Linked DNA regions of Lepisosteus oculatus. The protein of the gene in region 1 interacts with the protein of each later gene in a pairwise test. Links are inferred from orthologs where the notes say so. Each region holds a gene or a part of one and is shown in the gene's direction. Other genes may lie near its edges.

What was found.
Region 2: the proteins of arrb2a (region 1) and mapk9 interact in binary tests that used the Homo sapiens proteins (3 or more experiments, as listed by UniProt). The two-hybrid records come from large-scale screens. The link is inferred for Lepisosteus oculatus from reciprocal best matches to the Homo sapiens genes ARRB2 and MAPK9.
Region 3: the proteins of arrb2a (region 1) and adrb2a interact in binary tests that used the Homo sapiens proteins (3 or more experiments, as listed by UniProt). The link is inferred for Lepisosteus oculatus from reciprocal best matches to the Homo sapiens genes ARRB2 and ADRB2.
Region 4: the proteins of arrb2a (region 1) and type-1 angiotensin II receptor interact in a two-hybrid assay, tested with the Homo sapiens proteins (2 studies listed by BioGRID and IntAct, with this or other methods). The link is inferred for Lepisosteus oculatus from reciprocal best matches to the Homo sapiens genes ARRB2 and AGTR1.

What each region holds. Positions count from the first base shown.
Region 1 is NC_090698.1:12,348,701-12,356,555, reverse strand, and holds the start of arrb2a (arrestin, beta 2a), read left to right. Parts: upstream 1-4,849; 5' UTR 4,850-5,048; coding exon 5,049-5,071; intron 5,072-5,091; exon of another isoform or gene 5,092-5,750; intron 5,751-7,855. UniProt on the Homo sapiens protein: Functions in regulating agonist-mediated G-protein coupled receptor (GPCR) signaling by mediating both receptor desensitization and resensitization processes.
Region 2 is NC_090706.1:23,084,272-23,091,441, reverse strand, and holds the start of mapk9 (mitogen-activated protein kinase 9), read left to right. Parts: upstream 1-4,160; 5' UTR 4,161-4,402; intron 4,403-7,170. Other genes in the region: gfpt2 (glutamine--fructose-6-phosphate aminotransferase [isomerizing] 2), read left to right, coding at 50-94. UniProt on the Homo sapiens protein: Serine/threonine-protein kinase involved in various processes such as cell proliferation, differentiation, migration, transformation and programmed cell death.
Region 3 is NC_090706.1:28,678,957-28,686,823, forward strand, and holds the start of adrb2a (adrenoceptor beta 2, surface a), read left to right. Parts: upstream 1-4,863; 5' UTR 4,864-4,878; coding exon 4,879-5,049; intron 5,050-5,220; coding exon 5,221-6,432; 3' UTR 6,433-7,867. UniProt on the Homo sapiens protein: Beta-adrenergic receptors mediate the catecholamine-induced activation of adenylate cyclase through the action of G proteins. The beta-2-adrenergic receptor binds epinephrine with an approximately 30-fold greater affinity than it does norepinephrine.
Region 4 is NC_090708.1:14,881,437-14,888,685, reverse strand, and holds the start of type-1 angiotensin II receptor, read left to right. Parts: upstream 1-4,229; 5' UTR 4,230-4,480; intron 4,481-5,158; exon of another isoform or gene 5,159-5,600; 5' UTR 5,601-5,664; intron 5,665-5,944; 5' UTR 5,945-6,017; intron 6,018-6,886; exon of another isoform or gene 6,887-6,903; intron 6,904-7,249. UniProt on the Homo sapiens protein: Receptor for angiotensin II, a vasoconstricting peptide, which acts as a key regulator of blood pressure and sodium retention by the kidney.

The sequences.
Region 1 (7,855 bases):
GAAGCCCTCTTACTTGACGTGTGAGAGTTGTCTGCTGTCTCTGCCACACGGTGCAGTTACCTCCTTAACAGCAGCAGTTCCCTGCCTCCGGCCCTGAAGGAGCACCGCCTGCTGGTCTTCACTCCAGCTGAGCTCTGCTCCTCCAGCACTGCTGCCTTCACTCATCTGCTTGAGCCTCTAGACTTTTCTTTTACGTGTTCCTTCAGTTTGTTCACAGGTGTCTGATTTACTGTGAGCATATCAGACACACCCACAGTGGGTGTGCGTATATCAGAAACAACCACAGTGGGAGTTGTTCTTTATCAGACATACCCACAATGAGCCTTTCTTCTGCAGCTCAAATCATATACATGTTCAGCAAACACAGCTCAATGAGGGCAGTTCTGAAAACAGTGCAGAATACAGATTTCAAATCCTATCTGGCCTCGTAAGAGCTAAGAGCAAATCTACAATCCTACCCCAGTCAGAGCCAGTGATGAAGATCTCGAATGGAGAGCAGACCAGAAGATTTGGGGTTCCTACAGGACCGGGGCAGCGAACCGTGACCGTGTGTGCGGAGGTGCAGGCTCTTCCTGTGCTGCACTGCGGGGCTCAGAGACTCGAGCTTACACAGCTTCCTTCTACCTCGGCACAGGATCTCCTCTTATCGATTGCTTTTCCTGTGTGGTTCAGACGGGGCACAGACAGGGAGAGGGGACCTGGGTGCATGTTACTGTGAAGGAGCCTCAGCGGACAGGAGTTTGCAAAGACTCTGCCCTTTTCGGGCCCAGCCGTTGGCCCGTTTGCACTGGTGTGCGAGTCAGTCTTTGAGCCCCGCGTGTGAGGAGGGTACCCTCTGATTGGACCTCGCAGTGGTCGACCCCCCCCCCCCAAAAAAAATAAAAAAACACTACACAGCAGCTGTATTCCAGTATTGTAACAAGCAGCACAATTTTGTAACACGTTGTTTTATAGAATTTTTGTAAGAACAAAATGCTTTTTTTTCAGAAGCCTTGTTGATGTGAAGCCAATGATTAAAACCTGTTTTTCTTCTTACCCTGCTGAGTTGTTTGGCTTGTTCTGTAGCAGTTCGCTCACCAAGGCAGACGTCCTCAGAAAAGGCTGGTAGGAAGAAGAAATTTGGGAAAAGAAATGCAAATCTGATCCTCCTTCCTTCCCAGTGACCCCATTCCCAGCAGGTAACACTGTGATCCGTGACTTCGATCTTGTCCACTGTCTGTCCGGGGGGTGAGGAAGAGGAACAGACTCCCAGCCACTTCTCCTTGACTCCAGAGGACATACGACAGACCAGACCTTCAGAGGTCATATGAACCCCATCACTTTGCTAAAGGAGCAGTTAACTATAAAACAGCTCGCAGTCAAGTTGGAACTCTTTTATTTCAACACTTAATTAAATAATTAGGACAAATTTAGATAGAACTAGATCCTCCAGGAACTGGGTTTAAGACCCCAGTAAATCTCAGAAGACATTACAGTCTCCAACACTGACTACAGTCTTCATCAATGTCACAGTGGGATAGGAAAGCGACCTGATTCTAGCAGCTGTGGGAATTCTGGGATTATATTTATTTAAGGGAAGAATGTCTAATTCTTGAGTGTTACTCATAGTGCAGTAGAAAGTGTATCTCCCTGCTGGCAGTAGGAGCACAGCCTGTCCTCACATTGTGTCCAGTTTCTGTCCCATCTGTGATCATTGAGCTTTCCTTTCTGGACAGCCCAGTTTGCCTGTGTCCAGTTTCTCTGTCCAGTCTGTGGTCCCTGAGCCTGTCCTCTCTGGACAGCGATGTCTGTCTGTGTCCAGTTTCGCTGTCCAGGAATCAGTGCAGTGCAATTGTAATACAATGAGCAATGTATCACCGAGTCGGTGGGACAGCTTTCTGTCAGCCCAGTCCTCTATATCTCCTTCAGGCTTCTCTTCACTTCTCTTCATCATTAAAAAAGGTCAGTAGCTAATTAGGTAATTAACGAACGCATGTTGTCTTTTTGTTTGCTAATATGCTCTCCAGTGTGCATTCCTAGACAGACTGCTAGCAAAGTATAACGCTGGACACTCGTCTTATTTTGTGTGTGTGAGCCTGTTGCAAACCTGGCCAAGGCCACCCTGGGCCAGAGCGCTGAGGAGTGTGATGACAGTGACAGTGTAGCCACTAGGGGTCGCTACAAGCACCTTTCATCCAGATCATCAGCCAATAGATAGCGGCACAGTGGCTCAGTTGTGAGTAGTGCTCCCTTGCAATGCTGGGGCCCTGCCTTCATTTCCTAGGGTGCTGTCTGCGTGGAGTTTGTATGTTCTCCTCGTGTTCGCATGGGTTTCCTCCAGGTGCTCCGGAGGTTTTTATCAAAATAACCTTTCACAAACACATCTCACAGTAGTAAACTTTCTAACAGATAATCAGACTCACATGACATAAAAACTTCCTCACTCAGGTGATTGTCTGTTATCAATCAGGGCAAGTGGATGGATTTACACAATGAAAGAGTCCCTCCAAGCCCTACCACTTGCTTTTGGCCATGCCATTTCCCTGTCCCGGCTCTGAAACTGCGGAGCAGGAGCTCAAGGAACAGGGATTTCCCAAAGTCCCTTCCAGCGCTCCGGAGGATTTGCTGGTAGATTAAGTGGCATATGGGAAAAATGCCCCTGGTGGGAATGTGTGTGTCCTGTGGTGGACTGGCGTCCCATCCAGGGTGTACCCTGCCTTGTACCCATTGCTTACTGTGTTAAGCTTCAGCTTCCCCGTGACCCTAGACTGGATAAGGCAGATTCAAAAATGGATGGATCTGTCAGGAGAATGTGGGAACTGTACATGGAGTTTGTTACAGGGCAGAGTCACCAGCTGTGATATTAGGCTGCACTGAAGAGAAGTGATAAGCTGGATGTGTGGGAGTTTAAGTGAGCTGGAAGGAGGCCAGAAACGTTCCTGGAATTTCACTGCACAGCACAGCATTGAGCACAGAAGTCCTCAGCAGCCATCTGTCCCATGGGGAGGCTGTATACGCACTGGAGGTGCATTTAAAACTAAGACCAGGAGGCACGTCTGTCCACCAAGGGCGGTGGGAGTGTGGAACAAGCCATATTTTGTAAACGGATACTTTGACTTCCACTCAGAAACGCCAGGATGAGATCCTGGGATCAATCACCAGATAACAAACAAAAGGGCCGGATGGTTGCCTCTCATTTGCCACCCGTCTCATGTTCTTGCACAAGGACACTGGGGAGTTCCTCCAGCAACCTTGTTGTGAAAGGCGCTAGAGAACAATAAATGGAATTGAATTGAGAGTTCGACTGGGGAACTGCCCGTCTCATCTGCTCATTTCAAAGTCCGTACTGCTCATCACCGCTCAAATCCAATGAAAAACAACAAAGCACATTAGAGTGCAGAGAATCACATAAAGAAGAGTGAAAGCACCCATTGCCGCTGAAGCCCTGATGTCTTCTGGGGGCAGCGACACCAGACCCTGTCACCCCCAGAGTGCTGATGAAACACAGGGGAGACACAGTAACCAGAATCAGCTGAGCAGAGGTCCCATGGAGGGGAGCCGACAGACAACACATCGACCGGGGAGACAAGCCACATAGAGCTCTGACCATCCAATCAAATCAAATCAAAGTTTATTTATCAAATGCACAACACTACAGCGTGCAGCAGTAGTTGCTGGCAATGATTTATTTTTTCTGTGAGCTCACAAAAATCACAAAAATGAGGTTATGAAAATAAGGTTACATAATAGATGTAATAGAAATTGAAACTCAATGAGTAGAGCTGCTATGTGTCCATGGTGCATGCAATATACACAAGTAGTGCAGTTATGCTGAATACAGTGAAATCTGTGTTAATGTAGCCATTACAGGTGATTCACATAATCAACTGAAAGCCAGAACAGGAGAGACACAGTAATATTACAACTCACAAAGCGTTGTATTAGTGGGTCCTGCCAGTGGGTTTTATCACAATTATTAAAAACAACGATCCTGTTTTGTTGGAGACAGAGACATGGACAAAGTCTCTATGGGAGCAGGGCTGGATGTGTCTCTGCTGGAGACCCCGTACTGACCGGACCGGGGCTGGAGACTCCTGTACTGACTGGACCGGGTCTCTTCAGTACCTGGGTTGAAGACTCTTATCATAATCTGCACATGTGAGAAATCGTTTCGGGCTGACGGCTGTATCACATCAGTCTTGTGTACTCTGTCCTCCTGTTCATTAGTGCAATGCGTGCGCACTCGCCGCGGTAGCCCTAAATAGAAGTTTCACCTCCGGAAATATCAGAGGAGGCAGAGAACAGTCTAACGTTTAATTAAAAAAATATATATTTACATAAAATTAACGTGTAACAGACTGCGAGCGTGCTACGGAAACCCCTAAATACTGAAGGCTTCATTAACCCCCAGAACCGGGGGAGCATTTTTTATTTAGGCACTGAAAATTCAGCCAACTTTAGGCACCCATCCGTTCGCTCCCTCACGGGTACCTACAGTCACACCAACTCTATCCAACAAACCATTTTCGATGCATTAATTTCTGCACCTCGGGTTAAAAACATCTATCCAAAGACACTAAGATCGTATTCCGAAGTGCGTAAACAAATTCGTGCGCTGTAATTGGGTGCTGCTGCTGTCCATCAAGAGGCAGTACCGCCTCTCTTCCCGAACGGTAAATTTTGACTGGCTGTTGCGAGAAGAGTAAATAATAATACAGTTTTGTAGGGCGATGATGTCACGGGAGTCGAGGCGGGAACCTTTGCTTTCCTTAGGCGAGCGAACAGCTCTCCCACCGGAAGGCTCCGATTGGTCGGCGGCGCTGTCGTTCCAGGCGAGCGGTTGGCTAACGCGGCTGTCCGTCAGTGACGGCGGGCGGGGCCAGGGCGGCTGTCAGGTTGTCGAGCCGTTCTTCCGTCTGCTGGCTGCGGAAACGAGAGAAAGAGAGAGAGAGGGGAGGAGGGGAACAACCCGAGCGAGCGAGTGTGTAAGTCTGCGAGCGACAACGGCAGCGAAGGAGGAGGGCGCATTCTTAAAATAATCAAGAATAAAAATACTCAGCCGGTCGGCGATGGGGGACAAGGCGGGAACCAGGTAAGGGAGACATTTCCTACCCCCGCAGCGCTTCGTGCGCCGAGCCGCCGCCGTGGAGCGGAGCTGGAGGGGAGTTTAAATCGCCAGGGCGGGTGCGACGGTGCGCTTCGCGGTGGTACTGCCGTGGACGTTCAAGCGAAAGAAGGCAACCCCCCCGCGCGCGCACACCCTCGAGAAAGGGAGTGAAAATGAGCCGCTGAGATTCCTGTTCGCTAGCGCGCTGCGGAAGAGACGTGAACACGACACGGTAGCCGTGGGTGGCTGGTGTGGCGCGGAATCCTTAATAATAACATTAATAATGTCGCTGCCCGCCCGTGTCTCCTCTGGACTGTGTCCCTCACAGCGCCTCCGTCCTGCTGCCGTTGGGGTCGTGGCTCTCTAGGTGAGGAGCTGCGTGTTTTTTTTTGTGTGTCACCTGCGTGTCTGTGGCGAGACTGGCTGGCGTGACCTCAAGCAAACGCCTTCGTCCGTGTTCCTCCAGCGCCTGGGAAGATAGAGTATCGGCTACGTGGGGTGGAAATGTGAAAGGTTGGGTTCCCGGTGCTGGTGGCCGCGCTGTGCCCGTCTCCTTGTGATCTCCTTGCGATGTCGTGACGTGGTGTTTGACGTGTAGTTTACATTTCGATACCCACGCACACGGACATGTATGCGGGAGTGTGCGTCTTTATAAACAGGCGCATGCAGCTGCACATCCCTCGGCAAGGGGCGGTTCTGTTTAGGGGTTTTGTTTTCCTCTCTACGACGGAAATCGCTCCGGGTCCGTGTCTCGCAAGAGAGGAACCAACTATAAAAACCCGGCAGCTCCAGCAGTCTGCGCTGCGCCCGGGGCTGCCTGGCGTCCTGACGTGCCGCCCGAGAGAGATGGGGACCGTGTGTATCTGTCTCTCCCCCGCATCCGCAGTATTCACCTCATCAGAGAAAATTGGATTCTCTTCTGCATTTCCCTCTAGTGTTCTTGCGTGTCCGTGACGGGGGTGGAAAGGAGGGTAGAGAGAGGTGGCCTCTTTCTCTCCAGGCGCGTCCGTGAGGGTCTGTGGAAAGGTCTGCTGTTCTTCGGGTTACCAGCGGTCCAGCTGTGAGGACCGCTCAGGAGGACCCGTGAGATAGGGGCACAGTCGGCCCCGGGTGGGGGATGAGATCGCTGGGGTCTCTGCTCTTCCTCGTGCGTGAAGAGGCTGTGGATCCGGTCCGGGAGGTTTGGGCACAGCCTCGGTGCTCCGGGCCGGAGAGCAGGGGATGTTCCTCATCTTTCCCAGGAAGGGCTCGGGGGAGAGGGCCGTGGGTGTGTATATGGGGGGGTGTCTGTGGTTTTCCAGGCCCGGCTCACCTGGCTGCTGATTTGAATTCCAAATCAAGTTTGCGGAGGAGGGAAAGATCCACCTGTGAAGTAGGAGGCAGAGTAGATGCTGGGGGCTGTGATGAGGAAAGTGCTATCAGAGCTTCCCCAGTACTGGTCTGGGGGGGTCAGTGTGTCTGCAGGGTGTCCAGTCCTGGTCCTGGAGGGTCAGTGTGTCTGCAGGGTGTCCAGTCCTGGTCCTGGAGGGTCAGTGTGTCTGCAGGGTGTCCAGTCCTGGTCCTGGAGGGTCAGTGTGTCTGCAGGGTGTCCAGTCCTGGTCTTGGGGGGTCATTGTGTCTGCAGGGTGTCCAGTCCTGGTCCTGGAGGGTCAGTGTGTCTGAAGGTGTCCAGTCCTGGTCCTGGAGGGTCAGTGTGTCTGCAGGGTGTCCAGTCCTGGTCTTGGGGGGTCATTGTGTCTGCAGGGTGTCCAGTCCTGGTCCTGGGAGGTCAGTGTGTCCAGTCCTGGTCTTGGGGGGTCAGTGTGTCTGCAGGGTGTCCAGTCCTGGTCTTGGGGGGTCATTGTGTCTGCAGGTGTCTAGTCCTGGTCCTGAGGGGTCAGTGTGTCCAGTCCTGGTCTTGGGGGGTCAGTGTGTCTGCAGGGTGTCCAGTCCTGGTCCTGGGGGTCAGTGTGTCTGCAGGGTGTCCAGTCCTGGTCCTGGGAGGTCAGTGTGTCCAGTCCTGGTCTTGGGGGGTCAGTGTGTCTGCAGGGTGTCCAGTCCTGGTCTTGGGGGGTCATTGTGTCTGCAGGTGTCTAGTCCTGGTCCTGAGGGGTCAGTGTGTCCAGTCCTGGTCTTGGGGGGTCAGTGTGTCTGCAGGGTGTCCAGTCCTGGTCCTGGGGGTCAGTGTGTCTGCAGGGTGTCCAGTCCTGGTCCTGGGGGTCAGTGTGTCTGCAGGTGTCCAGTCCTGGTCCTGGGTGGTCAGTGTGTCTGCAGGGTGTCCAGTCCTGGTCCTGAGGTTGTCAATTAACTACATTACAAAGGGAGATTGGGCTTTCTCTATCAGAGCCCCTAGAATCTGGAACAGTCTTCCTTTAAAATTAGGACAGCAAATGGGTTTCTAAATGAGATTTAAAAGACTAAAACCAATTTTTATAGGCTTGAGGCAATAGTGTTAAAAATACTGATTTTGATCTTTGTCAGATACACCCATGTTGCCTAGTGCACAGTCTTGTTCAGATTTTGTCCATGTTAAGAGTGGGACTAAAGTACATTATCTTTTGCATTTGTATCATGTGCTGGTTCCTTATCATATTCTGTGCGTGTTGATAATGTTAAGAACTGCAGCAATATGTCCGCTGTGTATGTGCGTTTCCTTGTTTTAATCAGGATTGTTAGTACGTTTCTTAAATTTACCTCCTAACAATGCATTCATTTTATTAGTGTTTTAATGAGAAACACTTTGTGCTGTAGAGCTGGAAATGTTCTGTTTAAGTAAAGTCATAACTGATT
Region 2 (7,170 bases), on another chromosome or scaffold:
TGAAATGTTATTGAAACAATGTTTAACATTATTTCTCTTTAAATTTTAGGTTGACTGTCCACGGAATCTTGCCAAATCAGTCACAGTGGAGTAATATTCTTCAACAAACTGGAAATTATTGGAGGGAAGATAATGAAGAAGAACGTTTGCGGTCTTGGGTGTTTATATGTATGTTCATATGTTTATAGATATTTACATGTATTTATATATTACATAAAACTGAAACACAACAGACTATCATTGAAGTTTTCTAGGATCAGGCTTTTTCTCTATCTTCCAGCACTATAATTGATACAGGACTTACAAGGTTTGATCCAGCCAATGCAATAACTAGTACATTGACACTTCAATGTAGCAACACTATGCAGTTTTTAATTTACTTTGTGCCTTAACCTTATGTACTCCTGTTGCCATAGGAGTGATAAGGAAAAGAAAATGTGATGTTTACTTGTAGTTCCTAGATTGACATTTTATTAATACTGTGCAATATTTAATGTAAGAGGGCCAAATGTTTCTGGTTTTATGCAGATGATCTACATTTTAGGGGAATGAATTTGGGGAAGGATTTAATGTATTTCAGAATAGAAATTACATCCTAAATTAAAAGCAAAGCTATCTCATAACATACAGTATAACGCCTATATCCTCTGCTCTCAGTGGCATAAACTTTCACAGGTTCCAATCAATATGTAGCCGTACATCAGTCTGCTTTTTGGTACAATAATGGGAGCAAGTGTGGGCATGTTTTCTTGAGGATTTAAACATCAAAAGCAGTGGTCCACCCTTAAGCACATGGTGCTCTATAAAGCGGAGCTTCTGTACGATAGAGGCTTAGCCATGCTGTGACTCCCATGCTGTAACATTCTTTAACACTCTCCTCCACTACAACTAAAAGAGTCAGGTTGAACACCCCCAGCCTTAATTTCAAACCACTGTAGCAAGAGAAGGCCTGACTTGGTCTAGAATGAAAGTAAGTGCTTACTGTTTTCAGTCGATACACAGAGAGATGTGTATCGTCAGAAGATTCATATATGCAATAATTATACCAAATTAAGTGAAGAAACATCAGATTGCATGATCTATTGATCTTTTTCTGTATGTATTTTAATGTAGCTTTATTTATATCCAGAATATATGTGCTGCAGAGACCGTGGTGAGGAGGTATGAAACATGTCTTCTCATTTGACAACAGCCTTTGCTATAGTTTATTTGGCACAGGCAGTATTGTCACTGTAAAACACAAGTCTGCATTGAGCCCCAGATATGTATTCCAGTCTGCTAAATCTTTTAACAAAGATGTCTTAGTATCATGTGTTTTAGATTATTTATGAATTTATAAAAAGGTAAATTATTTTTCCAGGCTTGCTAAAATCAAAGTGGTTTGTTATTGTTTACCAAAAGTACTTGACATGTATATTATTGTTATTGTGTTGTCATGCTACGTAAAACTGTGAGTGATGCTTTTGGGTATTTTTTTAAAGATGAAGATCAATGGCCTTTTAAAAGATATTTTATATGTTTTTATTATGGAGGACTTTCAAAATCTATGAATGTTTAGAAAAAGGCAAAATAAAATGTATGTTTAAATTGCCCTGGTTTGATATCTTTATGCTTGTCATAGAATTGGTTTAATTGGTTTGAACGTCCTTAAACAGACTGAGATTATTAACCAAAGTGGTATAGTTACATGTTGCCAGCACTAGCTACATATATACTGTATTTCCCTAAAATCAAGTAGAGGTATAAAGATGCAGCTCCTCACTAGACCATATTTACTTGTAATTAGTAACTGTAATTGGATCAGAAATAATCCCTATTAATTTAAGTCTTGTATTATTTATCGAAAGCCAAAAATACCTAATAGAGCGGGGGATCTTAAAATTAGATTTCAGAACCTCAGAAAAGTACAGGGTCCCCTAAAGAAACCAAACTCTGATTATGCAGATAAATCAGATGTGTTAGTTTTGAGCTGGAGTATTAATCTTGTGCAACTGAGACCTAGTTTCCTGTTTCCTGCTAATGGGTCTGCTGATAGTTGAAGCAGACCATCCCATTTTCTAAGCAGGTTGGCCCTTAATCATGGAGAGATCAACCCACAATCACTTGGACAGGGCATGCTTGTATCTGTTTTTGCTCTTTCCTTAATTTACAATTTTATTTTTTGAATGCATATGTATCTGGGTTCTTAACCAACCCATTCTGGCAATTATGAATAATTCAACTAAAATGACAAACACTGAGCAGCTGGTATTTATAAAATCAAATTGACCTGAACTTTTTCTCAAGGGGTAATATTAGAGAGCCAACAAATCAATCCTCTCACTGTTTCAAATGAAAGTGAAATAATGTACAGTATTTACCTAATGAGCTATAGACATAAGGTGCAGACTTTTGTTTTTTTTGTTGTCCATTGGTATATACACAAATGAGTATTCGTGCACACTTGAACTTAACACATTTATCTCAATGTACATATTTAAGGCACCTATATAATGACATTTTGTGTGTTCCCTATCATGGACTGGTGTCTGTGTGTCTGCACTATGATAGACTGGCTTCCCATCCATGGTATACCCTGCCATGTACCCATTTCTTGCTAGGATAGGATATGGCTCCCCCATGACCCTGGATTTGAAGAAGTTGTGAGAAGATGAATGGATAGATTTATTGACACACAGAATACAGAGAATTTATTTTTTCATCTAAATTCATCAGAACGGACATGGTATCAATTATAGCTATTTATCCAAATTACTGTTATATGCCCATTTTAACTCTAGTTTCATATGTAACATAAGGTTGGGAGGTATACTACTTAAAACTTTGAATAAATAAACAATGCCTGCGTTCTGCCATGGGACTGTTGTCATGATATCCAAACACTTTCTAACTGCTTCTTCAAATTCAGGGTTGCAGGGGTGTTGGAGCAACTCAAAATCTTGGAAAGCAATGACACAAGGCAGGATACACCCTAGACAGGAAGCCAGTCCATTGCAGGGCATGTGTCATCAGTTTTGTACTTAAGTACAGTATTCCCAATTAAACAATTTAACCTTTTCAGTTGCATAACAAAGCAGTGGAAAGACCAATTCCTCCAACCAGCCAGACCAATTAGAAACCACTTATGTGGGAAGCCTACCAATTTGATACATAAACATTTAAATAAATCTAGTAGGTAATTCATACAAATGTGCCTTATACTGAATCAATTGTATAATAACTTCACCCCACATTAATTCAAATTGTGTATGTGTGGCTTTATACTGAACACTTTCTACACTAAACACAAAATCTCAAAATCATGTACAGTTATTGTAAAGTTTTCGTTTACACAGATATTTACGCAGGCAACACAGTGGTGCAGTGATTAACATTGCTGCCTCACAGAACTGGGGCCCTAGGTTCAGTTCTGGACCTAGGGTGCTATCTGTGTGGAGTTTGTATGCCCCCTCCCTGTGTTTGCGTGGGCTTTTTCCAGATGTTCCTGTTCCTCCCACAGTCCAAAGACATACTGGTAGGCTAACTGGCTTTGGGGTATAATTAAGCCCAGGTTTGAGTAAGTGTGTGTTTGTGTCTCCTCTGGGATGCACAGGTATCCTTGTAAACTGCCTTGCATCCCTTGCTCACTAGTTTAGACTTCGGCTCCTCCGTGATCCTGAATTGGAAGAAACAGTTAGAAAATGGACGGGTGGACGATGTACTTATAATAATGATGATATTATTATTATAGCAGTAGGAAAAAAATGCTGCCCGAATACTTTTTGGAATTGTACAACTCACGGAATTCGATCTTGATGGAGATACTTTATTCATATTAATACTGATGTATCGCTTATATTTCAAGTTTTCGAGTGATTTTCCATTTCCAGTGATGAGTGTATACAGCATATTGCATTTCCAGCAGCATTTTATAGAAACAGTGTATTCATTTTCAATTCAGAAAGCCACCGTCTACAGAGGTACTACAATGTGGATCCCTAGGATTCGAAAGATTTTTTTATTGTTAAAACTTTAAAAGTTGTACTTTAGAAAGAAGGGTAATCAGGTCGCATTGCAACAAACCCCCAGCAGGCAGCCGCCAGACAGGCTTAAACGATCGCAGCTCCCACTGGCTTTGCTGACGCGCCACACTCTAGCTTTGGCGTGATGACGTCACGCATATTTCCTGCCCGCAGTCGGGTTGTTGTGCCGACAAGTCCCCGCCCCAGTCATGCCATTGACAGGACCTAGAAATCCGGCATCTAGGAAGAAAGACCGTGTATTTTCGCGGCTGACAGCTGAGTTCTCCATTTGACGCATCCGCCTTGGATACCTTGGATTTTCGTGAATGTTGAGCCCCGGAGCCCCTCTTCTTGGGTTTGTCGTGCATGGGAGTGCTGTGGGGAGAAAGCGAAGTGAGAAGGTAGGTGTAATTAAATTTAGCTCGCCTGCTTGCATGCGCTGCTCCTGCTGCAGTTCTTACCAGAAGTGAAAGGGGAGGCGGGTGCAGACCGGGCCCTTGAGTCAGACCGGGGGCTTGTAAGTTGCAGAATTGGCCGAATATTAACCGAGAAGCGGAATTGACACGACAGGTCCTCCCTGCTGTAGGATATTTCGCATATCTGGCCTAGGCTGTAATTTGTGGTCTTACTCTAAAACACAGGCTGTTGGAGGGAGTATGTAATGATGCAATGAAACTACTCCAGAATGACTCATTGGCTGCCAGCTGCAAAAAGAAAGCCTACAAACTGTCGGTATTTGATTAAATGATGGAGTACGGGAACTCTATGTGCCTTCTAGGGCGGAATTGACAGCTTCATCGTTCCCAGGAGGCTTTAAAATAAAAAAAATACAGAGACAGATGATTTTTGTTTAAAGCCGATGGTGTTGCATGGCTGCTGGAAGCTGCAATATTTGAAGTTAGTACCTAATGAAAAGGCTACGGGGAAGCTGTGCTCTGTTGCCAAATACTGGAGGGATTTCTTTTATTTAAAGACCATAGCAAATTACTTAGACATTAGACATCCATTGCTTTTGAACCTGCAGGCAGTTAACACCCCAGGTTATTCGCCCACATACAGAGCAAGAATACCTGGCTATCTTAGGGGCACGCCCATTTATTTAAGACTGTTTCAGAGACTCTATTATTCTCCATTTATCCTGTTTCAAGTGCTACTTAATTGGCAATGTCCTTCTAACTACTTCCTCCTCGGATATACGGGTAATACTCGGTGTGGAACCTTACAATAGTCTGGAAACCGGCTTATCGTGGCCAGGCCTGCATTCATGTTGCCATTTTTCATGATTCTACACTGCCTTTTTTTTAGCTTCCTTCTCTTATTACTGTTCTGTCACGTAAGTGCGCTGTTCTTCTTTTTACTGGTTGGAATGTTTGAGCACCTACTGTGCTAAAAAACTATAAGTATCATCATTATATTTTTAACATAAAGACTTGTTTTCAGAAATCTGGACTTCAGCTGATGCTTTGAGGTGATGCGACGCTTGGTCCTTGAATTTGCAAAACTATGAATTATCCATTACTTTCCATCACTTCAGACCGGTTTAACTAAATGTGTCACTACTAAACACTCCTCTTCTATAAAATTCCTGCTCTCCTTGGGTAGTTTAGAAACTCTGCTAGCTGTGAACGGGAAGGTGGCTGTTTTTTTTGTAGGAACAAACGTTATCATTTTTTGTATAGAAGCAGCGGTTGAAATCAGAGTTTGTGAGCATTATGTAAAGTACAATATATTATAAGGATGACATTGCAACATTTTGTTTCATGCTGACTAACATTTGCTGTCTGCATTTCATTTTAAAGGGTCCATACCAAAGAGGTAAACATACCAAAGATAAACATTGTTACAGTATATTGGTACTTTTAGGTTTTATAGGATGTGACATACCTGAAGTGGTGTTTTACATGTACTGTAAGTATACAATACAGTATACCAATGTATTATTAAGATTGCTTTACAATCTTGTCAGTTTCATGTGCAGTAGAAAATCAGCTGAACGTTTCATGAAAGGTCTTTTGGCATGTAATAGTGAATCAGAGGAGTTTTACATGTAGGATTATACCATGGCGCAGTAGTGAACATTGTTGCATCGCAGGGCTGGGGCCAAGGATTCCTTTCCAGATTTGAGGTGCTATTGTGTGGATTTTATAATGTTTGCGTGGGTTTCTTTTTACTCTAACAACGTAAATTGGCTTTTGGGAATATATTTAATTTCCAGTGTGTACCCCACATTACGCCTGCTGCTTGCCAGGATTGTCTCAGGGTTCCCTGTGACCCTGAATTGGAAGAAGTGGTTAGAAAATGTACCTGATTTACCTGTATTTGCTTAACTTTCATAAATGTGTTCTACAGTACCACATACAGTAGTACTATTAAATAAAGTCTCATGCTCTATCCTTCCCAAGTTTTTTTTTAAATAATCTATCTAGTGTTGCCAACAGCCATATCACTCTGCAACTCACAACTGGAAACCCACTGAAGCTAAGCAGGTGTGAGCCTGGTCAGTACCTGGATGGGAGACCTCCTGGGAAGAACTAAGGTTGCTGCTGGAAGAGGTGTTAGTGGGGCCAACAGGGGGGCGCTCACCCTGTGGTCTGTGTGGGTCCTAATGCCCCAGTATAGTGACGGGGACACTATACTATAAACAGGCACCATCCTTCGAATGAGACGTAAAACTGAGGTCCTGACTCTCTGTGGTCATTAAAAATCCCAGGGTGTTTCTTGAAAAGAGTAGGGGTGTAACCCCGGCGTCTTGGCCAAATTTCCCATTGGCCCTTACCAATCATGGCCTCCTAATAATCCCCATCTATGAATTGGCTTCATTACTCTCCTCTCCTCCCCACTGATAGCTGGTGTGTGGTGAGTGTTCTGGCGCACTATGGCTGCCGTCTCCTCATCCAGGTGGATGCTGCGCATTGGTGGTGGTGGAGGGGAGTACCCATTACCTGTAAAGAGCTTTGAGTGGATTGTCCAGAAAAGCGCTATATAAGTGTAAGCAATTATTATAGAGTTCTTTCCACAAGTGTCCTTTTTTCCTGTCATATCGAAACACTTCTGCTCAGCAAGAGCCCATGTCTGTTATGCTACTGTCTCATTGCTTTGCATTTCACTTATTAAAAGCTTCATCATAACAACTTTGCAATACTTCAGCTTGAGATAATGCATTTTCCAT
Region 3 (7,867 bases), on another chromosome or scaffold:
AAATCACTTTACAGGTAATAGGACTACCCTCCACCACCACCGCCACATGGATGATGTGACGGCAGCCATAGTGCACCAGTACACTCCCCATACACCAGCTCTCAGTGGGGAGGAGAACAGAGTGATGAAGCCAGTTCAGAGATGGGGATTATTAGGAGGCCATGATTGGTAAAGGCCAGGGGGGAACACCCCTTCTCTTTTCATGAAGCATCCTGGGATTTTTAATGACCATGGAGTGTCAGGACCCCAGTTTTACACCACTTCATCAGTTTTACGACCCTACTGGTCCCACTAACACCTCTTCCAGCAGCAACCTTAGCTTTCCCAGGAGGTCTCCCATCCAGGCTCACACCTGCTGAGCTTCAGTGGGCTGCCAGCTGTGAGCTCCAGGGCGAGTTCCAGGGTGCTGGCAGCTATCTCCCTGTGATAAATCACAGTTATCTCCCTGGGGGTGGGAGTTTTAATTGTTACAAAATTGTTAATTATTTTGTCATAGCAGTCTAGCAAGAAAAGGGCAGCTACAGTAGCCCTGGCTCATTTTGTTTCTATCTGAATGTCCTTTAAAATCTTATGTATAGCCTACAGTATAGTATCCCATTTGGGGGATACTGCACTGCCATTTTCATGAATTTAGTATAATACCACAATGTCTAAAACCTGACAGAATTAAGATTAAATCTCTTACATGACATGTTATAGGACTTGCATTTAAATACTAAAAAATAACAACTATAAATAACTACTAAAAAAAAACTACTAAACTACTAAAAAAAAAATAACTACTATTTATAGTACAAAACTATTCACAGTATTTAAGTTCACAAATCAGGTGAATTTCTTTCATTAGTTTCTTCATTGCACTATACAGAATGTCCTGGGATCCTCTGATGCTAAAGATAGCCCCCAGCCTCAGTTGTGCCAGACACATTGGGTTCACAGGCTCTCAGGCTGAGCATACCTTGAATGTAAATGTGTAGATTCAGCTTTCCAGATCCCAAGACTCTGCACTGTATCAGTAGATGCACAAGACTATGGAACAGAATTTCTGCAAGCACATTATGATACAGGTACATTACCAAATACAACAATACTAGTGTAATAAGCAAGGTACTTATATGTATCAAACATATACACTCTTACCTACATGTACGTTGATAGTGCTGTTAGTCCAGTGTAATAGTAAGTGTGCTTACATGGTTGGTAATGTACAGTACCTGGACTATAAAGTGTTTATGGATTTGGGTTGTTTATAGAGTTAAATGAGACTGAGTAGACTTTCTTCAACATTCACCAGGGGGCAGTGCACTTACTTTCCTATGATGATATACTGTTTCAAGCACTTGAGTAAAACTGGTTATGATTTAGTGATATTGATGCAACAAGTTCTCAATTGTTCCAACAAGAGAGCACTTTCTCCGTGGGATCACCCTGCCTGACTCTCTGTTAATTCAGTGTTGAGGAGTTTACAGATAATTATTGCACAGAAGTAAACACAAGCTTTGATTTGTCCCTTATCAGAAAGCTAGGACTGAAAGAACTGTTTTTTTTTTCCTGGTAAAATATTCATTTAAATAGATTTGCGATACCATTTAAAATGATTGCAAAACCGCAGAGAAACAGCTTTTCTGACTTGTGGTTTTGAGCGGAGAGGACACAAGGGCTTATTCTGGAATGTGACTTAGTTATGATAGGTGCTTCTGTTGGGGCACATAAATTGATTCTTAACCTTCTTAACCATGAGGAGACCTCAGAGGTAACCTTATTCACACAATAAAAGAAATAAAGGCCATTCTATATCTGCTGTCTTCAAAAGGAACCCATAATGAAAAGAACAAAGCTTAGATGCTTAAAATGAACACTGGCCACCTTATTAAAAAAAAAAACTCTGATTGCATAGCAAAGTGCATTCATCATTCCAGAGAGACTGAGAGAGACAGATGCAATCTCACTAGTGCAGAGTTTTCCAGCAGAATTCCAACTCCAGGTCTCATTTACTCAATTGAAATTCAACCGTTGCTTTGCTGGGAATATATAAGATTTTTCTCTGCTCTTTTGCTTTTGATGACTTTAACAATGGCCTTGGCTCCTGACGGTTATTGAGGCACACGTGATGGTCAAAGTGCCCCAGCTGACTAAATAACGAGACCAGTTTGGAAACAGGACATTTGACTGGAAAAAACTCTGTTTCTTTTCAAACCCCTGAGCGTCTCATAAGCCTGTCCCTGGATATACTGGCAGCCAGGATTCCCTACACCTGTACAAAGAACACAGGTGGGACTACAGTATATTCTCCCTATTTCCTCTGTGGCCAGACTGATGCTGGGCCGACACATGATGTACACGAATAGTGAAGGCTCTTCAGTCCCCAGTCAGAACTCTTTTTATAGTGCGTGACTGTGAGCTCTCTCTCTCCTGGCTGCAGCCTGGTACTATTAATGTTCGACTGGGAGGCCATTTTAAGCTCTCGGCAAATTTATTGCAAGGTGCACATATAAGCTTTGATGTTTGTGTATCTCTCAGGGAAAAAAAAAAGGTCATGCTTGTGGAGCTTTAAATATGACAGCACCATTTCATAGTGAAGAAGTGTGGACATTTGTGTATGCAGTACGCTAGAAAAACTGCACACCTTTTGTTTCTGGGTTCCAAAAGTCAAAAGCTGACTCAGAAGACAATGCAGGACTTCAAATACAACCCGATCGTGCCAACTTAAAACTGAACTACTGTACAATACGTTGTTGTTCACTATCTCGTATTTATTGTTAACATGTTTTATTTTTACTGGTTGTTTATTGACTGTATATATCATTATTATATACCGTTTTGTAATGTACTGTCTACGTCGTGAGGTGTCTACTGTCGTCTGCTGCACTGTGCACTGTACTGTATGTCCCGGGTGAACGGACAATTAACATGTCCATATGGCAATAAACTCATCTGCTCTGCTTGAAAGGAAATGTACTGTACTGCATGAAACCTTGTTAATTATTTGTCGTGGAATTATACTCAGGTGTGGTAAATCTGAAATATTACGAACAACAATATTAATAAGGCGATTAAAGTAGTCACAAAAAAGAAATCTTTTTTTTGTGCTCTTTGCAAGAAAGACTGCTTTCTTGGCAGTCTCGTGCTATTGATTAAAAAACGTATTCAAATACGTTTCCTAGGAAATGTATCTTCCTCTAGTCAAATAAAAAGGTCCGTGCGAATAACGAGCCATTTATCCTTTTTGAAAAAGTCACTATCGTCGCTTTTCTTCCGTTTCTCCGCGCCTGGTTTCTCTTACACCAGGTGACGGAACCAACGCTTTTTTAAATTCAGAAATGCCGAGCTTCTGGAAAGCTGTGAATTGTTTAAAATGTATTATACTTAAATATTCATGGCAAGGATGAGTGCTGTCAGGCATAAATGAACACAACTCGCTTATACATTCCCTGCACAACACAGAATTTTTCAAAGTTAAACACGCCGTTAAAAAAGATCCTTCCAAACTAAGGAAAATAAATTCGACTTCTTTGCGTTGTTTTGATAAAAAAGCTTAATAAAATGTCTTTAAATAATTTAACTGAAGTGGTAGCTGAAAGACGTGTTCGGATGGATTTTGTTCACAGAAACAAAAGTAAAACAGTGGCAAAATTCACACGAAACGAATATATCTACATGGGTTTTCCAAGACCTGTCAATATTTCAGAAACAGTTCCGAACACCTAAGATACTAACTATACATCACTTGACTTGCGGGCAGACAAGATGCGCGGGAGAAGGATTTTTGAGATCAAGACGGTCTCATTCAACGCTGTGTGCCTGTCTACACGCTGGCAAGTTTAAAGACAAAACTCATTCACAGAGGTTCGGATTAACGAGTACAATACAATACGGGATACAATACCTAAAATATCACCGCAGACTCGCCTGGTTAAAAATAAAGAACAGCTATTCTGAAAGTAATCATAGAATGGGTAGCCAACGGCTTCCAATCAATCAATTAATCCCTAGTTTTGCATAGCACCCTTTTCTGAGCACAATTTAACATCTAAAATCAGATACAAAAAACATTCAAAACAACCTGCAACAAATATGCAGTAACAAACAAGCCAATATACAAAAGCAAACAGAAAAACGGGAAAATAACATTAAAAAACAACGATCCTCTCAGGAATTAGAACCGGGAGATAATTGTCCCTGCAATTTCCCTCACGGGATCAATAAAGTATCTATCTATCTAAATACCACTTTCTCGTGGACAAAAAGCTTTTTCAAAAGTCGCACTGACTTTTAGTCACACTGTGGATTCAAAACAAACACTCCATTTATTAGCCCCTGCAGTTTCAGGTTAGGACTTTCAAATGTTTTTTTGTTCACGAAATGAAAAGCTTATTTTCACATACATACTGTATACAGTACTTTCCTTTGACCTCAGTAGGATTAATCGTCCCATTGACAAGGAAACTTGGGGCAGACTTGATTCTGGGGGGCACAGAAGTTGTTCTTAGCCTTTTGTCACGAGTTTCAACGGTTTAGAAAATTAAGACAGTCACCCCAATCAGTCAGACAGCCAGCACAAACCGAAAGAGAGACACAGAGAGGGAAAGTAAAATCTGTTCTTTTGCATTTGTACTTCTTCCTTCGAGACAAGACCATAACAGACTGATAAGCTATAAGAAGCTGAGCTTTTTGACATATGCAGCACTTTATACTTCCTCTGTTGATTTGGTTCACAGACAGAAAGTGACCAGTCCGATGTTTCACACAACAGCCTTTAGCGCTTTGCCCTCCTCGCCTGCTCATTGGCTGCTGGAAATGATGTCATCGCCCACCCTTACTATAAGGTTCTGTCAATAGCCTGCGAGCACCATCCACAGCCAGGAACCTGCATACTGTATGTGCCAGACTGCAACGCAGCCTCTGAAAGAGTGGGACAGAAATGAGCAGAGGAGAGTGCGACAGGGCTCTTTCGGGAAGTGTCTAAACAGATTTCGGACATCAAAGAGCAAAGGAATAAAGCTGATTGATGTGGGAGAAAAGAAGAAGACAAGAGCACAGCAGGAGAAGGTTAGTAAACTTTCTCCCCCCCTTTAATAACTAAACACCTGTTTTATGTTAAAAAAGCACAAGCAAAAAAAAAAGTGTTTTGTTTTTTATCGGCTGCCCCCCTTGTCTTTCTACCGTTTAAGCGGTCCATTTATTGACCCGTCTGTCGCTGTTGCTGTGGTTGTTTCTCAGACCATGGACCCTCTCAGTAACAGCTCCGCGTCCAACTCGAGCAGCCCTGAGCACAGCGAGGCGTCGCTGGTGGCGTTAGGCATGCTGTTGTCGCTGCTGGTGCTGGGCATCGTGTTTGGGAACATTCTGGTCATCACCGCCATCGCCCGGTTCCAGAGGCTGCAGACCGTCACGAACTGCTTCATCATGTCGCTGGCCTGCGCCGACCTGGTCATGGGCCTGGTGGTGGTGCCCTTCGGGGCGTGCCACATCATCCTGAACACCTGGCACTTCGGCAACTTCTGGTGCGAGTTCTGGACGGCCACGGACGTCCTCTGCGTCACGGCCAGCATCGATACCCTGTGCGTCATCGCCCTGGACCGCTACCTGGCCATCACCTCCCCCTTCCGGTACCAGTCGCTGCTGACTAAGTGCCGGGCCTGGATCGTGGTGGTGGCCGTGTGGCTGGTGGCCGGCCTCATCTCCTACCTGCCCATCCACATGCAGTGGTCGGTCTCCAAAGACCCCGAGGCCCAGAGGTGCCTGAATGACACCCACTGCTGCGACTTCAACACCAACACCGCCTACGCCGTCACCTCCTCCATCGTCTCCTTCTACATCCCCCTGGTGGTCATGGCCTTCGTCTACGGCAGGGTGTTCCAGGAGGCCAAGAAGCAGCTCAAGAAGATCGACAGGTGCGAGGGCCGCTTCTACGTCCAGAGCGGCCTCCCGCAGCAGGAGAGCAGCGGCGAGCCCAAGGGGGGGAAGGCGCCCCCAAAGAGGGCCTTCAAGTTCTGCCTGAAGGAGCACAAGGCCTTGAAGACCCTGGGGATAATCATGGGAATCTTTACTCTCTGCTGGCTGCCCTTCTTTGTGCTCAACGTGGTGGAGGCCATTGGCCAGTTCCAAAACACCAAGCTGACGTTCAAGATTCTTAACTGGATAGGGTATGCCAACTCGGCCTTCAACCCCGTGATCTACTGCAGGAGCCCCGAGTTCCGGCACGCTTTCCAGGAGATCCTGTGCCTGAGGCGGTCGCCTTTCCCCACGCTGGGCCCGCCCAATGGTTATGTTTACAGCGGACACAGCTGGCAGAACGACCCGCAGGCAAAGGGCAGATCGAGCTCGGAGGACAGCGTCACCCCGGAGGGGACGCTGGCCAAATGTCGGGGTCCCCTCTCCGGGACGGACACCAACGGCAACTGCAGCAAAGCTCTAACGACTGTTGTATAACTCGCTGACTCCCCCAGGGGGAAAAGGGGGAGTTTTTTTTTGGGAGGGGGGGGGGACACATTTTATGAATGTGTTTGAATGTACAAGTGGGGAATGCAGGGGGTGAGACTGTGGGCGGGGGTGGTGGGCGCCATTGAGTGGGTTCTGCTAAAACGAAAGGAGCCCACTTGATCACATTCGCTCTCACGGCGGGAGAGTGGGTCTCTGCAACTTTAAATTTCATTTCACCTACCTCATTGTTTTTATTTTTAATTTTTTAACGAACTAGGGACATTACTTCTTTTTTAACGAATGCAAGAGAGCAATGAAGCCAGGCTTACGTTCTTACAACGAAAGAAAACTCCGGATCCTTTCAAGAGCGAAGAAAAAGGAAGGGCTCTTTTTTTATTGAAGGACAAACGTGAAAACGGTACCATAACAGTATTTAATTGACGTCTGCCGACCATGCTAGCAAGCGGTTTTGTAGAGTTCAATATGTTTTGCTCCAACAATGAATTATCTTGGGGGGAGTCGAGGGTAAAAGATTCAGAGTGGTGTCTCGGGCTGTCTAGTCTCAGGATTTGCACAATGTGGAAGTGCAGTCTTAACTTTTAATCACTCACTAAACAGGACGTCAAGGACAGTGCACTCGCGATCGAGTTTAAATCCGCCTTTGACAAAACTGAAGAGAAAACAAAAACAGGAAAAAAGAACTATAACGAAGTATACTCAAATTATTAGCTTGCACAGCATTCATCTCGTCCGCATCTTCAATACATTCCAGTTTCATTTTGTGGAAAATTTAAAGCGAGGCTTAATAAAGCGCGGCGCTGTCGACTCTGCTCCCCAACAGTAACCCAACACTCAGAGGGAAAATAACAGGTGCAAAGCGCCGCTCTTTCCGTTTAGGAGGAAAGGGCTGCAAAACAGTTGAGCAATGCTCTTCGACAGTTACAGCCCCCGACAGCTTTTCTGATTGGTAATACTCTTGAAGGTTAACCCCGTTTTGTCTTGTGGCTGCGGTGTGTTGAGTTTGCCGAGACTCCCATTATGGGGTTCAAAGCTGAATCGAACCCAGTGCAGGGGGGAAGGCAGTCCGGTCTGGAAGTCAGCTAACAAAAAAAAACAACCCAAGGCGAATCCAGGCTGAATTCCAGCTGTAGCCGCTGGTGTAAAGTGTAGATACCAGAGGCGGTATCGAGGTGTAGTGGTGGGGTTTCGGATTCCCATCTAGAAAGTTGTGGTATCAAATCGCAAGGAAAAACACGCGAAGTACTTCACCCAGATCGCAGCAGTGAAATGCTCGGGTGTGTAAACAGAAGTTGGTCTTTGCCGATACAATCGTTAGCCAATTAAGTTAATAAAAGCAGATGAAAGTCACTCTGACCATTCTGTAACTACAGTACAGCCATTACCAGACAGACAGCACTACCGACTGTTTCGACTGCTACTATTA
Region 4 (7,249 bases), on another chromosome or scaffold:
CCAGCTAGTTTACTGGTCAGCTTTTCTATCTCCTTTTAGAAGGACAGCTCTAGAGCCAGCAACTCCAAATCTGGCAACTCACGCACAAAGAAGGCTCCACGTGCCAAAATGTTTTGTTTCTTTTCTTCTCTTTTCAGCATGGAGTCAACCTTTACTTTACATGCCTACGCATGCTGCCACAGCTCCCTGCTTGAACTACTTTGACTCTAGAATTAGTCTGAAATTAATCTGAAAAATCATTGGTTTTCTGTTACAATTTCAGAAAACTGGTAATATGTGTTAAGGACTAAGCTATGTTGTTTTGTATTTGCCAACCCCCTAGTTTCAATTTAAAAGAGTGAGCAATCTTCAGATCCAGGGAGAAAAGTGATTCCCTTCCCTTGACTTAGGTTCTGTGTTGACTGATTTCTGTAAATGGATTCTTCAGACTCTACAGTGGTCCTCAGTTCCCTGTCACCATTGAGCTTATTTCCCTGTCCAAAAATGATATTGAGCTCATTTCCTTAGGACTGTTTCAAGTGAATAGACAAGGACTGCTGAAGACTGACTGAACTCATTACACACAGTAAACAACATCCATTCATTAGGCTATATGACAGCTGCAATAATTCTGGAGAAAAAGCGCAACCCCTTTTTTTTCACAGACTTACTAGATATTGCTGGTTTCACAAAACACCTGCCTCATATCCAATTAAAGGTCAATACCACATCACAGCACGACACAGATTTTTCCTTTTTGTTGATTTTAATTTTATTTTGTGATACTGATGTAAAATCCTTTAGCTAAAAAATGGTTCATTGTACAGTAATGTTAACATAAATATTTAGGGATTAATTAATGAATTTTTGCAAAGTAGATTTATTGGTACTTTGTGAATCTGGGTATTAAGTACAGTGGCATTACATTCATGGACACACTTTATTATTTTTGGGGGATGGAGTATGGTTATCTTAAATTCAACTACATTCTGTCTTTCTGACAGATCAGCTTATGAAATCAGGAAACAATGTTTTGACTATATTTTCAGCTACGAAACAATGGCGCCATATGGTCAGGGTCTAGAATTACATCCTGTTTTCAACCAAATATTTGTTTGAAAATATTTTTATATCTTTATCTACATTTCAATTTCTCTCAAATTATGTGAATTATGATATTAATCAGTAAGTGCCTGAGCCTGAATACAGCAGACACTCTATTTGATTATTTAATTAAGTATTAAAAAAAACGTTTTCCAATGCCTTGACAATTACAATGTGTAGTAAATACAAAATAAGTTAAATTGCTTATGAACACACTATTTCTAAAGCGCATGCATATACAGTACAGTATGTATTGTTCTTGAACTCTAGAAGAATATAGGCAAACATACAAGTTTTGTTTTTTAATCATCACAGCAATAGAGCATATATATTGAAAGACAAATAAGAATGAATAGAAAAGAAACACCAGGTGTAGTGAATTTTTTGTTAATACCAAGAAAAACGATATTTTTAACTTACCCCTATGTTTGAGTTTCATAACTGGAAGGATTTCTAGAATTCTAACAATACTGTTATGAAATAATAGTATATAAATATAGCTATTTTTTAATCTGATTAAACTAAATTGCACCCTGGCCTGTGTGCCAATCTCCCACAGAAAATAGATTTCAGTACCTGATGATTGCCATGCCTGCATACGAGGACACAAAGCAAAATGAAGACACGTGTAGTGTGATAGTTGGCTATCAGTAACGTTTATTCAATCTTATTTCTTTTTTTTGCTGCTGCTTCTGGGCTAGTAATGCATCAGATGTCAGGAGCTGCCAATTACCTTCATGCTCTCTAGAGTGGCCAAATGATAAGCTGATAAACACAATTTGCAGCCATACCTTAGAAACAACCTAAATAAATTCTTGCTACTATGTACGGTACAGTGTTTTCATATACAGTGCACTGAAAGCTATCAGATAGTTTTATAGTTGTTTCAGATATTATTTGCATTGTATGTCAGTATATTATAGGAGCCAATCAAAATCTGTTCCACATGCAGTGATACTGACTAGATACCTCCTTCAGTCTTATATCAAATTTGTTACTTAACTTAGCATCAGTTACTATCATATTGTCAATACGTTGGGCTGTGGAATGATTTAAAAACTATACATACCATATGTTTCAGCTCAAACATCTTGAAAACAAATTAGTGCATTTAATGATAAAATATTTTCTCCAGCATATTTATATGTACAGGCACTGTGCACATGAGTAGGGAAAAAGTATACAATTATTTTTTACTGTGAATATACAGTATGCTTCATTAAGATTTTACACTACAGAAGAAAATATCAGCTACTTTAAATTAACTGAACTCCTGCCTAAAATCCCATGATCATGATTATCCTATTTATCAATGACTATCAGATTATAAACCTTCATCCTGTGGCCTATAATCAAAATTGTGTTCAGGTCCCAGGTGCAATGTTAACATTTTGACAGAGGCACTAGACAAAGAGTATTGTTACAAGATTTGTCCTTGGGATTCACACTAAGGCTAAGGTTCTACAACAATATATTATCATAGTCATCTAATTCAGTCCATTTATTGTCTGGTGACACCTTTACATCATCAGCAGGTGCACAAGACCAAAACGGAATAATGTTTGTGTGCTTCTAACTTCAAATGTCTCATCATTTTGAAACTGTAAAAATAAAAAAAAACATTATTATTGACATTATTATTACAGCAATCCTTGATCAGGGACAAGCAATTAAATTAAACATTTACGTAATGTCAGTAGCAAAACATGTTCTGATTCTTTTGTGAATATTTCTCTCTGATTTTTTTTTACTTCGCAAAACAGTGTAACTGAATACCACACTAATCTGTCAGTGACATTAAACTTTTTGATCCAGTGAGCTCCTCCCATTTCCTGTTATGGTACATTTATTTGTGTCAGGGTTTTGAAAGCAGTGTGTGACAACTGGATCGGAGTAAAACCCGTTTGGCTGTTTTCATCTGTCATCAGGAAAATTAAAAAGAATTTAACATTAAACAAAATCAAGTGGACTGAGATGATCGAGCAATCACATTATAGAAATGCGACTTTGCAAATATTTGTGCTCAGGACTGGAACTTGGGAGACATTGTAAGAAAACCAGGTTGTTGCGGCTAGCGATGCTACTGGACGAGCTCTTCATTTCCGGTCCACAGGTCCTTAGCTAATGGCCAAATCCGCTGTGCTATAGGAGGTGATCCACTCTGGATGACATGTTAACCCGAGGTCCTGACTGCTTGGTCATTTCAGATTCCCATGGAACTGTTCATTAGAGCAGGAGGTGTGAACTCCAGTTAACTCCGCTCTGGCCTTCCGCCATCTGGCCTCCTGAAATTCTTCATTCAAATGGTGAAGCTCTTTCGCACTTCTCTGTCTGAACTGCTGTGTACTCAGCTGCCAGACGTCACAGTGACGCATAAAATGGGTCACCTCCTATACGTTATCCACTGTGATGGAAAGCATTATGTAAATATAACTATTCATTTCTTCTTCTTCTTTCTTCTTTGTTCTTCTTCTTCTTCTTCTTCTTCTTTCTTCTTCTAGGTGTTACAGAAGGTTAGTTCATGAGAAAAAAAACATACAGGGTACCATAGTACTTATTACACACATACGTAACAGATATTGGCCAAAATTAAAGTTTTCAATAATAAACAGAAATATTGTTTCTTTTTGACCTATGACAAAAAAAAATCTAAAAAGTGGTAAGCATTGGTGCCTCGCAGAGCTGGAGCCCTGGGTTTGATTCCATGCCTGGGGTGCTATTTGCGTGGGTTTCTTCCAGGTACTCTGCTTTCCTTCCACAGTTCAAAGACACGCTGGTAAGTTAATCGGCTTCTGGAAAATTAGCCCCGGAGTAAGTACGTGCATGTTTGTGTCTGCGTGTGCCCAGCGATAGATTGGCATCTCATTCTGGTCACGTCCGGCCTTGTGCCTGTTGCATGCTGGAATAGACTCGGGCTCCCCCGCCGCCCTGTATTGGATCATGCAGTTAGTTAATGGATGGATGGGTATTTATTGATACCATTCTCTATGCGTAGGTAAGGAATAGTCTATACATTGTCTAAGAATAATTTTCTTTGCCATTAAGGGAAAAAAAAAACGTTTTCATCTGTTATCAATCTGATCAAACACACACATTTCTACATGAAAACAAAATACTTTCTTAAAGTATTTATGTTAATGTTTTGTTTGAATTTCATCCAAAATGTTGGTGTTATCAGACTATATGTCCATCTTTATACAGTATGTTGCCCCCCTTTACAGTTCTACCCCTGCTCATCGACTGTTTCTAGTCTGTTACAGGCTTGGTTTTCTCTAATCTAATCTGCAATCAAGCCTTGATAGCCGTCTGAAAACTTGATTTTGGAATTACCCTTGGGGACCCAGACCTTGGGACGATTAGATGAAACACAGCCCAGCTCTTCCGGTGACACTTTAAAGTAAGCAAATCAGAACTGGGCAGTCAGGCGGCATGCTTAAAAATGGGTTCAAAAAACATTCACTTGTTAGTAAGTTTGTGAAAACAGGATTCAATATACTGTACAGTACCTTGCATAATTTATAGGGGTACCTCATCTTTTTAACATTACACTGAAAGTCCTGAAATTAAAGGGCTGCACCGTAGCCAGGTTTCTACCGAAAGGAAAGAACTAAAAAATCTTCTTAATGAAAAGAAATGGGAGGTATGATAAATTATGTAAATGGGAGGTATGATAAATTATTAAAGTGCATTTGACAAAAAAAATTAAAGTATGAAATTGACAATTAAAGGTACAGTTGTTCTTTAATATAAAAAACAAGGCAGTCACTGTCACTTAATAAAATATTGAGATCCTAAATTTAAGCTGTGAGCTGAAACTGAATTGGAAGCTTTTGATTAGCTGACTGAGATGAGAGGAGAGATCTTCCTTGTTCAAGCCAAAAAAGAAACTAATCCATATGCTAGGTTGAACTCTTCAGTCCTACTGGAGTGCATGTACTGATTACTAACCAGTAGCTTTTACCACAGTAAGACTAGAGGGTTATGAAGCCGATGGCAACATTGTGATCAGCAGGAATAGGGGAGCAGTGTAGTGGGAAAGCGACAAAGCAGAAGGTTTACTTGTACCTGTTATAATACAAGTCATACCCTTCGCTCTCCCTGGGGGATTGTTAAGTAACAGCTGGTCCGCCATCCCAAAAAAACAACTTTCACATGCACACAGGATGTACACAGTAACAATTGGAATCTGCGACCAATTTCCTAACGCACTCACCCAAGCCACAGAGAGGGAAGTGCCAGTGACAGTTCTATTAATAAAACTTCTCTAAGCCCCAATTATCAGGGCTCTATTAGATGGCTTGGGAAAATGTCGCTTGCAGGAAAGACGTAGAGCTATTAAAGAGCTGGTCGGTGAAGGACTCCCCAGATGGGAGTAGGGCAGTGCCTTGAGTACAGATTGTGGGGGCTGAGCTAAGAAACTGATGAAGAGATAAACCAGCTCTACAACCCACATGTGTGCAGAGTCAGCTTGCGATTTACTTGCCCAGCGAACTTACATAAGGTCCGTTCATCTCCAGAAAGCCAGAGAACTCTGACAGTGTCTGTTGCACCACCGGAGCACTTACCTTTCCTCACGATAAGGTAAAAGCATTTTTCTCAAGTGCAAGAGGTATTTCTGAAAGTGCTGTTTTGGGTTGATGTTTTTTTAATTTTGTTTCACTTCATTTGGAAAATAGTACAATACAAAAAATTACCAAAAACAAAAATTAGGAACTCTCAAGAAAGAAACAAGATTTTTGTTTAGTATGCAATTAACAATTATTTTTAAATGCTAGTAAAAGATGGAATATTCTTCATGAAGTAATGATTGCCTGTGTATTGTGAGATACTGGTGTTCTGACTGTCTCTTTTTATTCAACAGGACATACGTCTTAATATGTACTTGTCTTTCAATATTTGATGTGTTGTTGGGAGCAACATTTCTTCTGCATCAGGTAACAGAATGCCTAATTGCTTGTTTCTTTTTTCTAAACTTTATTTTCTTTACTCTATAAAGCACGCACTGTATGCAAGTACAATAAATTCATGCTTTTTGTACCCTGTCAATACACTTCTGATATGATTCAATAATAGAAAATATACGCCACTAATAAATCCCATACTGTATGTGCTTTAACATAAACATTTAAGGCGAGGTTAAATATGCTGCTCAAAGTTTATTAGATTACCGGATGGAATGCCTCACATTTGGGGCTCAATTAGGGATGGAAGTAAAATCTGTCAGGGGTGGCTCTCTGTCAGACAAAGTAGAAGGACACTGTAGCTCTACAGATGTACAGTATTTACTTGAGTTTGTACTACTGTTCTCCAAACACAGAGAACATGTTCATGGGAACTTTAAAGAGAAAAACATAGAAAATGTATCCATAATTTTAGTTATGAATTATTCATATGGGAGTTTTAAAAGTTCTATGCTCCAGAGCATTATATGTTCTTAATTTGCTGATTTGAGTTCGGAACGTGCCAATCTAGAATATATAGGTATGGAAAATGTATTTTTCTCAAATATAGTTTTGGAATTCCACACGGGCTTTATTTGGCAGAGGAATCTTGGAGCACCTTTGCATATTAAAATGCTTGCAAAATTACAGTATGTATGTCCTCCTCCGATATGAAAATAACAAGTGTCCATCTAAAATTGTTTCATTTTGTCTAAGTTATTTTCTGGATATCAATTACCTTGAGACACAAAGCATTGTGCAATTGTTTTATTATGTAATTTTAGGTAAAAGATAGAGTCTAATGCTTTTTAAATTATGTTTTCTTTACTTGATTCTGTCTTTTTTTGTCTCTCTGGGAACAGCAGTCTCATTTGTTTTGGTAAGAAATAGTTTTTTTTTTAATTGTTTTACATCAGTGAGGGAACAAAACATACATAGCAGAGCTGAGAGATGCTAGATCCCCCCCAGTGAATAATGTCTTTTTTATGATCACTACAGTCTGTTGCACTTTAGGAACATAGTTAAATCCCACTGCGTCCTAGTAGAATCTGCTTTCTCTAACACAGAGGTTGCAGGCTTGCTCTTCTGAGCTATAATTTATTTAATAGTGTAAGTTCAATCTGTGGTTCTAATGTAGAAAAACTGGATCTTTTTCTTGTACACATTTCCCCATAATTTACACAACAAACATAAACCTATTATTAAATATTATGTCAAGGTTTCTT